2 linked regions of the Arabidopsis thaliana genome follow. The protein of the gene in region 2 interacts with the protein of the main gene of each other region in a pairwise test. Each region holds a gene or a part of one and is shown on either strand. Other genes may lie near its edges.

Region 1 (5,548 bases), 3.6 Mb from region 2:
TAAAAAAAAATAAGAAGAGTGAGTATAAGTTTATAACAACATACTACAAGAGAATCACTTTTAATCCACATCTGCATCTTCTAACCATTTGGTAATTAGAATAGAGATCTATAAAACGGTGTAAAAAGAGACATATATATGAAATTAGTGTTCGACCAAAAAAGAGACATTAGTCAAAATAAAGGTCACATATAATAGTCCAAAAAGTCAAATATACGGTTTGTTACACCACTAACCGCACCAAGAATAACTAAAAAGCCGATATTGGCCACACCTTCCTTTATCGTGAGTCGAATGGTATGGATTCAGTGGGAGTTTAAACTTTAAAGTCGTGAATGGGATATCAGTTTTTCCCTTTTCTAAAATGAACCCAATACTATTGTTTGAAAAAAAAAAGGGTGTAAAAAGAAATCAAGAGCAGGGAGTTGAGAAAATAAAATAAAAACCTCCAAAAATAAATAAATAGAACCAGATTTTTGTGTCCAATAATTTTTGTGTTGTATAGGGTCCATTAATATGGCAAATTAATTACTACAGTCTCGATTTTCGCGTTCATATTAAAAAAATTCCCCTACGATAGATGACTAGTCGGAACACTAAATAAACGTAATCTCAAAAATGCAAATCACATACAAATGGAAGCACATATTTAAAACTAAACGATCAAAAAGCCAAACAGAAATGTAAAAAATAATTTAAAACAACAAGGGCATACAATATAGCTTAACCCTCCTCTGTAAAGCTTACAATTTTTTTTTTTTTTTTTTTTTTTGTAAATTGTAAAGCTTACAATAGTTTTGCAATTTATTGAAGGCTTGGAATCAACCCACCTACCAGAAAAGAAAAACAAGTCGGCACTATTGGCGCAGATCATCTTCCATTTTCGAGGTAATAAGAAGGATCAACACTAATCAACTTCTTCCTAGAAAAATCATTGTACGCTTCTTCTATGAGTTCATCGTCGTCCCATTCATCACGGTAAGTTTCTGGATGGGCCACAAGTCTCAGGTATCCGCCGTCAACTTCTTGACCTCTCCAACGTTCTACGAGTTCACAACCAGATTCTTTCGCGACCCAATTGAGGTACTCACTCTGTTAGAGAGATTAAGTTTTCTTAAAAAAGTTATTGACATGATGCTCTTCTTGAGTCGATAATATGCATATGATTCTTTAACAAAAAGAATATGTATATGCATTTGGTTGTTTGTTTACATGTAATTTTAATTTTATATTCAAAGTATTTAAAAAATCCATATTTTAAGCAATTAATTAAAAATATTTATATTTAGTAATTGTAAATCCGAAATTCAAGCGCACTTGGTTTTTTTTATGATGATATGAAAAAGTTTTAATTATTAAAACATGTGAATTTTGTTTTAATATTTTTCACATGATTTTTTTTTTTTAGAAATCTACGTTTGAAACTATTTTGACATATTTATAGGACATGTAGTTTTATTCGGAATATGACGAACTTACCTGAATTCTACCTATCGTATGAGTATGTCTCTTGGGAATACCTAAGGCATCAAGCGACGCATACCACGCATTAATATCTTCCATCATCTTATCTGTTGAGGGAAGTGTAACTCGTCCTGACAAGACTGCTGCCACCCATTTGCTTTGGATTTCAAACATAACAAATACTATCCCCTGAATTTAAAAAGAAAATCACAGATCAAAACTAATAAAGTGAGACGTGAACTCGAAAGTCCAAGAGAAAAAGTTCAATTGATACTAACCATTGCTGGCAAACCAACGAAAGCAAGTCCAGGGGCAAGCGCTGGTGGAAAGACATGCTTGTATAGAGGTTCAACACGTTTTTCATCAATGCGCAAATAGCCATTTGTTTCAAGAAATGGGAAGTTATACTTGTACCTACACACATAAACCAAAAACATTAGGTCAGTCAATAGATTAAAAATCTTGCTATATATGAGCCAATAAATACTGAAAACTATGGATATACCCGGTGCAATACACAATGCTATCAGCAAATATCACCTTCCCGTTTTTGAAAACAATCGACCCATCCTCATGGGTGGTGTCGATCTACGACATATCAAAGGAGAAAATCAAAGACTTTTAACATTATAATTGGTTTTAAATGAAATGGCGTGAATGTTCATATAATCCAAATCATTGTTCGATTAAATAAAGTTTTTAGTTTTACTTCGGAATGCATCCATAGATTGTTTTGGGGAACGGAAATCTTCTCGTATGTGTGGGGTTCCCTTGCTCTAGACGCAATGTGGACTTCTTTTGCGACCTTAGCTATGTCCCTACTAATATCGGCACCACTCGCAAAATTTCCTATCACCACCACCACCTAGCAAAATATCAATACAATAATATAGATCGTAAATGAAATTAATTATGATATATAATTTTGTGGACCAACTTACAGTTACGTTTACGTATTAATAATTTAATAGAGCTAATTTTTTATCTTTTTTTTGAATCTAATGTTAAATTATATTCAAAGAAAAAATAGCATTTTTACAACTGACGGAACGGTTTATCGAGAGAAAAATTTAAAGATTTTTTCAAAAATTTTGTAGTCCGAACAATTAGATGCGAGTTAATCAAGCTTGGGCTGCAAGCCAAACTTGAAAAGCTGCATCATACCTCCTATCACCCAAGCGTCTGATAGAGCTAATTTAAATTTCTAAATGCATACGAACAATGCTTTACTTCCAAGAACTGAGAGATGGAGTTCTTCCATATAGACGCAATGATGTAGAAAGTTTTCTTAACCTAGACCATATGCTTTACCTTCTTTTACAAAGGAAAAAAAAATTACCTCGTTTTCGAATGGATCAGGAACTCTATAGTTGTGGCTATGAATCTGCTTTCCTGGCCACGATTTTATACCTATGGATACACATTTTTTGGTTATTCTCAACTAACTTTTACACTGTTATTAAAAGAAAAGGTGAGTATTTATAAATTAATATTTTTACCAGGAATATGAGCAATATTTGGTTCTGTATAGTGACCATTGCAAACCACGACGGCGTCATAGATCTCATCTTCCAAGAACCCGCCGGAGTTTTTCGACTGGACCCTCCAGTTCCCGTTGTCAACCGGTTCAACGCGAACCACCTCGGTCTCGAACCGGATCATCTCCTCTATTTTAAACTCTCTAGCAAAGTCTTGAATATACGCAAGAACTTCCCTATGATTTGGATAACGTCTCGCGTCTCTTGACTCGTCATCGAAACGTGGCAAAAACGGGAAGTCCCTGACACCCATACTTTCTCTCGGGACATTGGTTCGGAGAGACTCGTAGATGCTCGAGTGGACTTTGGATCGGGTGGGGTCAAGGCTAAGTGGATCGGAATCGGATTTAGGTGTGTAAACCCATAGACCACCGACTTGTTTCTCCCGTTCAAACACAACTACACTGTGACCTTCACGACGGAGCTCCCTAGACGTTATGAGACCGGCTGGTCCGGCTCCGATCACTGCCACGTGTTTAGAAGTGATTTGGTTTTGAGCTGGTGCCATATTTTGTCAAATCTTAATAATAGTAGGTTTTGTGTATAAGTTGCATCAGCTTCAGGCCAAATATAAATACTATATTTTAATGGCAAGATTACAGATGTTACATTTCATCTAATGGTTATGGAATTTTATTACTCATTCCAATCCACGTGTTCGGTGAACGACGTGTAAGTGATTAGAAATTTTTCAATTTTTATGTGACCTTTTAAGCTCCGGGCATTGCTTTTGTCAAAGTTTATTTATTTAATAATAGGTCCTTTTTCATTTCTTTTTGTGTTCTTATTCTTATGATTTTTTTTTTATCATGTTCATCTTATGTTTGTTGAAATGAAACTTCATCACAAGATAATCTTATTTTGCTAAGAAATATTTTTTCGTTATAAACGTAACTTCTTTATTAAATAAATCTAGTCTTTTACGATTCCTTATTTATTTAGCTGTCGTAGACAAGCAAGTTAATTTACAGACAAACTAGTGAAATCCAGTAGGTTGGTGAAGAAAGTGAAAACACGTGTGGAATTTGCAAGGCAGGAATCTTGGTGGAGATGGGACAACAAATAATTGTCTACAGTTAATATTTTCGTGGACAAGAAAAAAAAAAGACAATCCTTGGAAAGCTACTATTACATCCATCGAAAGTTCCACATCGCTGATTTCATTTATATATATATATAAGAAAGAGAAATCATTAATCATTACTAGATTTCATCGTTACAGACTTACCGTTATCACTTACTCGCACTACGAATAAATTCAAAAATCAATGTATACATATTCATTCTCATTACTCATTAGATTTCATCGTTACCGTTATCATTTACTCGCGCTATGATTTTTTTTTAAAAATCAATAGAAGTTCTCTATAAGTCAATTTACAAAATAGAAAACAATGAAAAAAAATCCAGGAATGTACCTTAAAAATTTAGCACCAAAATCTGTCAAGAAAACTTTGAGAGCATCCACATTGATTATTTATATAAGTGTTTTTAAATGAGCATATATTCAAATATATATAAATTAAAAGAAATATATGGGTGTCTTTAAAAGGAGAGTTGTGTTTTCTTAGAGACAATTAAATCGTCCTACACAAAACATGCAAGAGATGCGTAGGCTAGATCACACTATATCACAATTCTTAATTAGCTTTATGATTTTAGTTGATGTTCTACGTATGGACCATAGAGAAACCAAACTGAATTCAACCAACATTTCTTCAACTACTAGACACAGAAATACAAAGGGTGAAAGGATCGTTACGTTAATTGGTACGATGCTATGTATTTTATGGGGGAAAATTTTCATTTTAGTTCAGGCACGTTGAAAGTCATTCACCTGTTTTCCTACCCAACATCACTGTTCTTTTCCTCTGTTCTTTCTTTCGTTTATCTATAATTACATTTCCTTCTTGAGACAAGTTGCAGTTGGAATTTTCTCTAGTTATCTTGTGAAACTCCTAACCTCCCTTCATAGTCTGAAACAGTGAACTTCATGACCTTTAATCTGGCCATCTCGGCTCAGCTATCTTTCAAAGAGTGAAAGCGGGATTTTTTCAACGTAATCATACCTAAAAGCCTTCTCATTATTCCAGTGGGTCATGAATCGATTTATCAACCTATAAAAAGACAGAATCAAACATATATGCTGAAATCTCAGAAAGAGACACCGAATCTATCAATCATGTGATCTGACTCTAAGAACTAACGGACCTCAGAGGCTCAGAGCTAGCAAACACTTCAAAGTCAAATTCATGTTACAAGTAGATATCTTCTCTGTAATAAGTTGCTTGTCAAAGTGAAGAAAAAAAAAATGAGAGGAGGAAGAAGCGAAGAAAAATTAAGGATTTTCTTGCCAAGTAATCCGTAAATGGAGTAACAAATCCGAACCATTTATTTCGTTAATTTGGAGATCAGCTAATCAAAGAAACGTACAAAAAGAAGCAGATCTATAAAACCGAAGTTGCAAAGATTTGAGGGTAGAGGCGTGACGTGAGATTAGTAGATCTTGCACAGTTGCACCTAAAGCAAGTTCAAGTTGTGGCAGA
Region 2 (6,168 bases):
GATGATGGTCTGGAGCTTTCATTTACTGATAAGAGGAGATTTGCCAAAGTTCGACTTCTAGCAAATGTATAAATGCATAACTCTGAAGTTGCTTTTTTTATTTTATTAAGCTTCTCTGTGGATACTTAGTGATAGTTTTATTTATGTTTGCTATTGCAGCCTACTTCTGTGAGTCCAATATCAGAGCTTGGTCCTGATGCATTGTTGGAGCCTATGACAGTTGATGAATTTGCAGAAAGCTTAGCTAAAAAGAAAATAACCATAAAACCTCTCCTACTTGATCAGGTTCAGAGATCAAATTTCATTTTCTCTCACTTTTATGCATCTTTCAGCTCTTTCTTGTCCTTACCACTTCTATCACAATATCTAGAACTTGGCTATATATGACATTATAGATGCTGCAGAAATGATCTTCTTTTATTTGGCAAAGTTTTGTTCCTTTTCTTTATATAAAAAGCTCGCATTTAGATGATTATGTATATCTTCCCTTTTGCAGGGATATATTTCAGGTATTGGGAATTGGATCGCTGATGAAGTGCTGTACCAAGTAAGTGATCTTTACACATTTACATTTGAAATGAAGTAAAGCATCTATGTAACCACTCATTTGATTCACAAAGTATCCACTTTTGTTTTCTGTACATTTGACGACAGAAGAAACGGGTTTACATGCTGTACGATTAATTCTAGTTTATTTTTTTCGCAGGCCAGAATCCACCCGTTGCAGACTGCTTCTAGCCTCTCCAAAGAGCAATGTGAAGCTTTGCACACATCCATCAAAGAGGTAAGACTCTAAACACCCCACCAAAACAGTACCTAAAAAACATGGGATTACAAAGGCTCTGTTAATATATATGCATATGATGCATTGTTTATTGGGATTTAGAGAGAAAAAAAAAACCCGCATTTGTAGGTCATTCAACATGCAGTTCAAGTCAATGCTGATAGCAAAGAGTTTCCTGTTGAATGGTTGTTTCATTTTCGGTGGGGGAAAAAAGCAGGGAAAGTTAATGGTAAGCTTTCCCACCATCTATCTATAAATTTGATGAAGCAGAATTTGGGGTTTTGCAGGTGATAGAAAAAGCTGTGGAAGTTGATGCAGACAGTAGTCAGTTTCCTAGTTACTGGATTTTTCATAATAGGGAAAAGAAGCCAGGAAAGGCCTTTGTTGATGGTTTGAATCCCACATTTCACACTCAAACTCTTTATCTACCTGCAAAAGTTCATAAAACTGTTGGATCTGTTGTTCTCTCAACTTCCAACTGCAGTTGTTAATCCCCATAATAATGGTTTAAACGTTATGAGAGTGAATCGTGATGTATCTGATTTATGTGGTAGGTAATGAATACTGTTTTGGTTATTGCAGGGAAGAAGATTGATTTCATTACTGCTGGTGGAAGGGTAAGTATATGTATGCATTGTTAGGCACTGTTATAATGTGGGTGATTGGTTCATGTAGTGAACTGAACTAATGTTTCTGTGTCTGGTTTTCTTCTTTTGTAGACAACAGCTTATGTTCCAGAACTGCAGAAACTTTATGGGAAAGACGCAGAGAAAGCAGCCAAGGTTAGACCGGCTAAACGAGGTGTGAAACCCAAAGAAGACGATGGAGATGGGGAAGAAGATGAACAAGAAACTGAGAAAGAAGATGAGAGTGCTAAATCGAAGAAAGGACAGAAACCCAGAGGTGGTCGTGGTAAGAAGCCTGCATCGAAGACAAAAACAGAAGAGAGCGACGATGATGGAGATGATAGCGAGGCTGAAGAAGAAGTTGTGAAACCCAAAGGCCGTGGTACAAAGCCTGCAATAAAGAGGAAGTCTGAAGAGAAAGCTACTAGCCAAGCTGGTAAGAAGCCAAAAGGAAGAAAAAGTTGAGAACCTATGTTTCCAAGATGATAGTTTTTGTGGGCAGCTAACAGTTATCCCATTTTTTTTGTAAGAAAGTATGTTGGAAATGTGGGATGCCTACAAGGCTATGTGATATTCTACTATTATTAGTTATTTAGGCTGTTACAAGGCTTTGTGATTACCTCTGTCCTTTTTTGTTGTATTTGGAAGTCAGAAAAATGCTCGGAGGGCAGCAACTACTTTCTCTGGCCTGTATACAAAGTTCAAAATTCAGAGAGTCTTATAAGAATCAAAGCAGACCAGAACAGTATGTGTATTCTCATACCAGTCTTCTTGAGGCAAATGCCCAGCACCTTCGATGAGTCGAAGCTTAACATTTTGGGGGTTCTGTTTCTCAAATTCCTCTGCTATAGACTGAGGCAGATATTTATCAGCTATTCCCCAAGCCAGAAGCGTAGGTTTATCCCAGCTGTGAAGGATCAAAACCTCAGCAAAGTAAAAGACCTATCTGTAGCCGTGTGAATTTGTAAAAAGTTGAAATGCACTTACCTGCCTGATGAAAACCCATTTGCAATTTGACTCAATGTGTCTCCAAAGTTGATCTTCTTCGCAGTCTCGAGCAAGGCTAATTCATCAGAATCTCAGGATGAGAAGTCTCTTAGATAATAGATTAAACCATCATAAGAATCAAGAGTAAGGTGTGTATCATGCTCCATTCATTGAATTTGGTTTAGAGACGTACCAAAGCCAGGCCCTCCGCTTGACAAATATGGTAGACGATACACATCAGCTTTCTCATTCTTCAGGACGTAGCTATCAAAACAGATATAGAGTAAGACAATTGTCAGTAGAAGCCTCTATCAACATCACCAAACACATGCATTTTGAGGCTGAGCTAGGAGAATAGCCAGTATATAATGTCTCATCTCTATAATGAAGATGATGGTTAATTTGATACATACGGGCTACCTCCTTCAATGAACCGCTCGGCCAAGATAGCATTTTGGCAGGTGAATTCACCAAACAGGGGAATCCTGCATCAGAAAAAAAATGAGGAAAGCCAAGAGATACAAATAGATTGGTGCTTTCACAGAGTATTGCAAGCATTTAGAGTGGTCAAAATGGCAAAAGAGTTGAACCTCAGCTGCTTAAATAATCCGGGAACTGGGGATGAAACGGTCAGCGGACTATTAAGGATCGCGAGTTTCTCAACCTTGCTTGGATTTTTCAAAGCCCAAGTTAAACCATATGAACCTACAAGAAATCCCTTGGGAGACCACAACAAATGCAGAAATAAGATATATATTCAGTCTTGATGAATTATTAACATATTATACACAAATGGGATAAGAACACACATCCGAACCTGAACAACAAGAAAGAAAGGAGATTTGACCTCTAGCACTTCAAGCAGTTTATCAAACGCCTCATGGTACTCTTTTTCTGAGAAGATTTAAAACTTATTAGAACAAAGAACCATGTACACTGATTTTGCAGTTCACAAACTATTAAATGTACCATCAACGAACCTGTGTAATTAAAACCGTATCCAGGCTGCGGTTTGTCACTGAATCCGAATCCTATCCAGTCAGGTGCAAAGCAATGAAATCCAGCATCTGACAACTATTACATTGTTGGGAACACACAAAAGATCCACTCAAGCTTCATATACATACACATGATTCATTGGAAATCATAAGAGTCTTTCATTAGAAACAATTGTTTCCCATATAGACACATGATTCAAGATTCAGTGTAGCACCTCAGACATGACAGTTCTGTAGCTAAAAGACTGAGTAGGAGCTCCATGAACAAATACAATGGTTCCTCGACGACTCTCCTTTGATCCTACCGGAAAATAGGAAAATGCTTAATCAGTGATCAAAAACTCTTCTTGAATCCAAAAAACAAACACAAAACTTAAGTCTTTACCAGTCTCTCTCACAAACCATCTAAGCTTCCCAGATTTGATAGTTGAGCCATACTCTTTACCTTTATCTTCAGTCCTCTAAACCCACAACATAACAATCAACAAAAATATAACACTATGATAAAAAATGGAATTTGAAATCAATAGAAGCAAATATGAACCATGCATCTTTTCAATTTCAATCACAGTTCAAAATTGAACTGAGTAAATATGTGAAATTTACGTAGAGCATTTGGCCGACATTGCCGTCTTCCGCCGGAGACTCTGGTAACTGAATTGCACTCCGGCTAGACGGGTTGTCTGTAACGAAACCAAATGGGTTAAAAGATGGATCCTCATCACGATCGTTTTTACTACCACCGCTGTTTCCATTCTCCGACGTGGCGTTTATGACAGAGAAGCGGATTTTCGACGGCGTGGCAGTGATTCTAGAGGCGGTGGATTTTGTGGCGACGGTGGAGGAGAATGAGTGGAGCAGAGGAAGAGGAGAGAGCAAAGACATTTTTGATTGGTAAGTAAAAAAGCGTATTTCCTGTATTTATATATGCGCCTCGAAAGAGAGAGAAAATATTGAAAAATTAGTGGTTAATGATGACATAAATTAAGATTGTGGGTAAAATCTAGAAATTGATATATTTTTTTTTTATATATGCTGTTTTATAAGCTCATAAATATCACATTCACAAGTTTGTGCGTTTTACTAATGTCATAGACTCATAGATTTCATTTCAGGGAATCTATGTAATGCAATTTTGGATTTCATTTCATAGCATTCCCTCCGTTTCAGTGTAATTGTCGTTTAAGTGTCTTAAGTGAAGGAAAAACAAAAATGATATGTTTAAGTGCGAACGACGACGTTTGCAGCACGTGCTTTGAACCTGTGTGTGAAAACCCTAAGCCTAAGGTGTCTCTATGTTGGTGAAAATGCTAGAGTCACCAGTCGAGCCCCAAAAGACCACCTCACCGTCAGAAGAAGAAGTTAAACTACCTAACCGCTTTCAAAGGTCAATACCCGCGCAAGATCACTCTCGGGTCGGATCTTTCCGTGTAAGACCCGTCCGGATCTATCCCGGACCGATCAATTTCACGAGTGTTCTCCTTCAATCGAATAAAGTCAAGTGCTTTCATCAAAATTTACCCGCGAATTGAAGAAGGAAGAGGAACCAAACCTCCAATGGAGAGAAGTGAGTCCGTTGATGAAGATGTATGTGTTTAACTCTAAAACTCCTCTTTTCAATTCTGGATTTTGTGAAGATTATGAATCGATTCGCACAAGGGTTGTGATGATGTTACATTTGATTTCATTGGGTTGATTATCATTTTTGTTCAGCTCCTTCACAAGTTTGATGCCTCAATTGAGTAAATAGGGTTTGCTAGAATCAAAGTTTATAGCTTTTTGTTATTACAGGTCCAAGCATCTGCATATTTAGAGAACGACGAGGTTCGTGAAAGAGATGATCCAATGTCAGATACTTTACGGATAGGAGAAGAAGCTCTAGTTTGTAGTAGTGAGCATGAGATTGATGTTGGATTTTGTCAAAACGAAGAAAGAAAGAGTGAAGAAGAAACAATGGGAGGGTTTGATGAACAGAGTGGTTTACTTGTTGATGAGAGAAAAGAATTCGATGCACCTGCGGTTGGAATGGAGTTTGAGTCGTATGATGATGCTTATAACTATTATAACTGTTATGCTAGTGAAGTTGGGTTTCGTGTAAGAGTGAAGAATTCGTGGTTTAAGCGGCGTAGTAAAGAGAAGTATGGTGCGGTGCTTTGTTGTAGTAGTCAAGGTTTTAAGAGGATTAACGATGTGAATCGTGTTAGAAAGGAAACTCGAACTGGTTGTCCTGCTATGATAAGAATGAGACAGGTTGATTCTAAGAGGTGGCGGGTAGTTGAAGTTACACTTGATCATAACCATTTACTCGGTTGTAAGTTATATAAATCGGTTAAAAGGAAGAGGAAGTGTGTATCTAGTCCAGTCTCAGACGCTAAGACGATTAAGCTGTACCGAGCTTGTGTGGTGGATAATGGGAGCAATGTGAACCCAAACTCGACTCTTAACAAGAAGTTTCAGAATTCTACTGGGTCACCTGATTTGCTGAACCTTAAGAGAGGAGATTCTGCAGCCATTTACAACTACTTTTGCCGTATGCAATTGACAAATCCAAACTTTTTTTACTTGATGGATGTGAATGATGAAGGTCAACTACGGAATGTATTCTGGGCAGATGCTTTCTCTAAAGTTTCCTGCAGTTACTTTGGCGATGTCATCTTCATCGACAGTTCTTATATATCAGGAAAATTCGAGATTCCACTGGTGACATTTACCGGAGTGAATCACCATGGGAAAACTACATTGCTTAGTTGTGGTTTTCTTGCTGGAGAGACAA

What was found.
Region 1: the proteins of AT1G52510 (region 2) and FMO GS-OX3 interact in a two-hybrid assay, tested with the Arabidopsis thaliana proteins (one large-scale study listed by BioGRID).

What each region holds. Positions count from the first base shown.
Region 1 is NC_003070.9:23,157,874-23,163,421, reverse strand, and holds FMO GS-OX3 (flavin-monooxygenase glucosinolate S-oxygenase 3), read right to left. Parts: upstream 3,689-5,548; 5' UTR 3,511-3,688; coding exon 2,964-3,510; intron 2,875-2,963; coding exon 2,804-2,874; intron 2,330-2,803; coding exon 2,174-2,329; intron 2,053-2,173; coding exon 1,970-2,052; intron 1,879-1,969; coding exon 1,743-1,878; intron 1,654-1,742; coding exon 1,480-1,653; coding exon of another isoform or gene 1,456-1,479; exon of another isoform or gene 1,093-1,455; coding exon 871-1,092; 3' UTR 541-870; downstream 1-540. UniProt on the Arabidopsis thaliana protein: Catalyzes the conversion of methylthioalkyl glucosinolates of any chain length into methylsulfinylalkyl glucosinolates. Prefers probably short-chain methylthioalkyl glucosinolates in cv. Landsberg erecta.
Region 2 is NC_003070.9:19,560,981-19,567,148, forward strand, and holds AT1G52510 (alpha/beta-Hydrolases superfamily protein), read right to left. Parts: upstream 4,293-6,168; 5' UTR 4,281-4,292; coding exon 4,002-4,280; exon of another isoform or gene 3,857-4,001; coding exon 3,781-3,856; intron 3,697-3,780; coding exon 3,611-3,696; intron 3,472-3,610; coding exon 3,378-3,471; intron 3,292-3,377; coding exon 3,215-3,291; intron 3,116-3,214; coding exon 2,988-3,115; intron 2,883-2,987; coding exon 2,811-2,882; exon of another isoform or gene 2,662-2,810; coding exon 2,591-2,661; exon of another isoform or gene 2,500-2,590; intron 2,474-2,499; coding exon 2,398-2,473; intron 2,318-2,397; coding exon 2,174-2,317; intron 2,134-2,173; exon of another isoform or gene 2,099-2,133; coding exon 2,059-2,098; 3' UTR 2,031-2,058; exon of another isoform or gene 1,876-2,030; coding exon of another isoform or gene 1,504-1,875; intron 1,402-1,503; coding exon of another isoform or gene 1,367-1,401; exon of another isoform or gene 1,276-1,366; coding exon of another isoform or gene 914-1,275; intron 817-913; 3' UTR 797-816; coding exon of another isoform or gene 707-796; 3' UTR 548-706; downstream 1-547. Other genes in the region: MMH-1 (MUTM homolog-1), read left to right, coding at 1-66, 160-285, 497-547, 707-784, 1,072-1,174, 1,367-1,401, 1,504-1,875; FRS6 (FAR1-related sequence 6), read left to right, coding at 4,953-4,982, 5,187-6,168.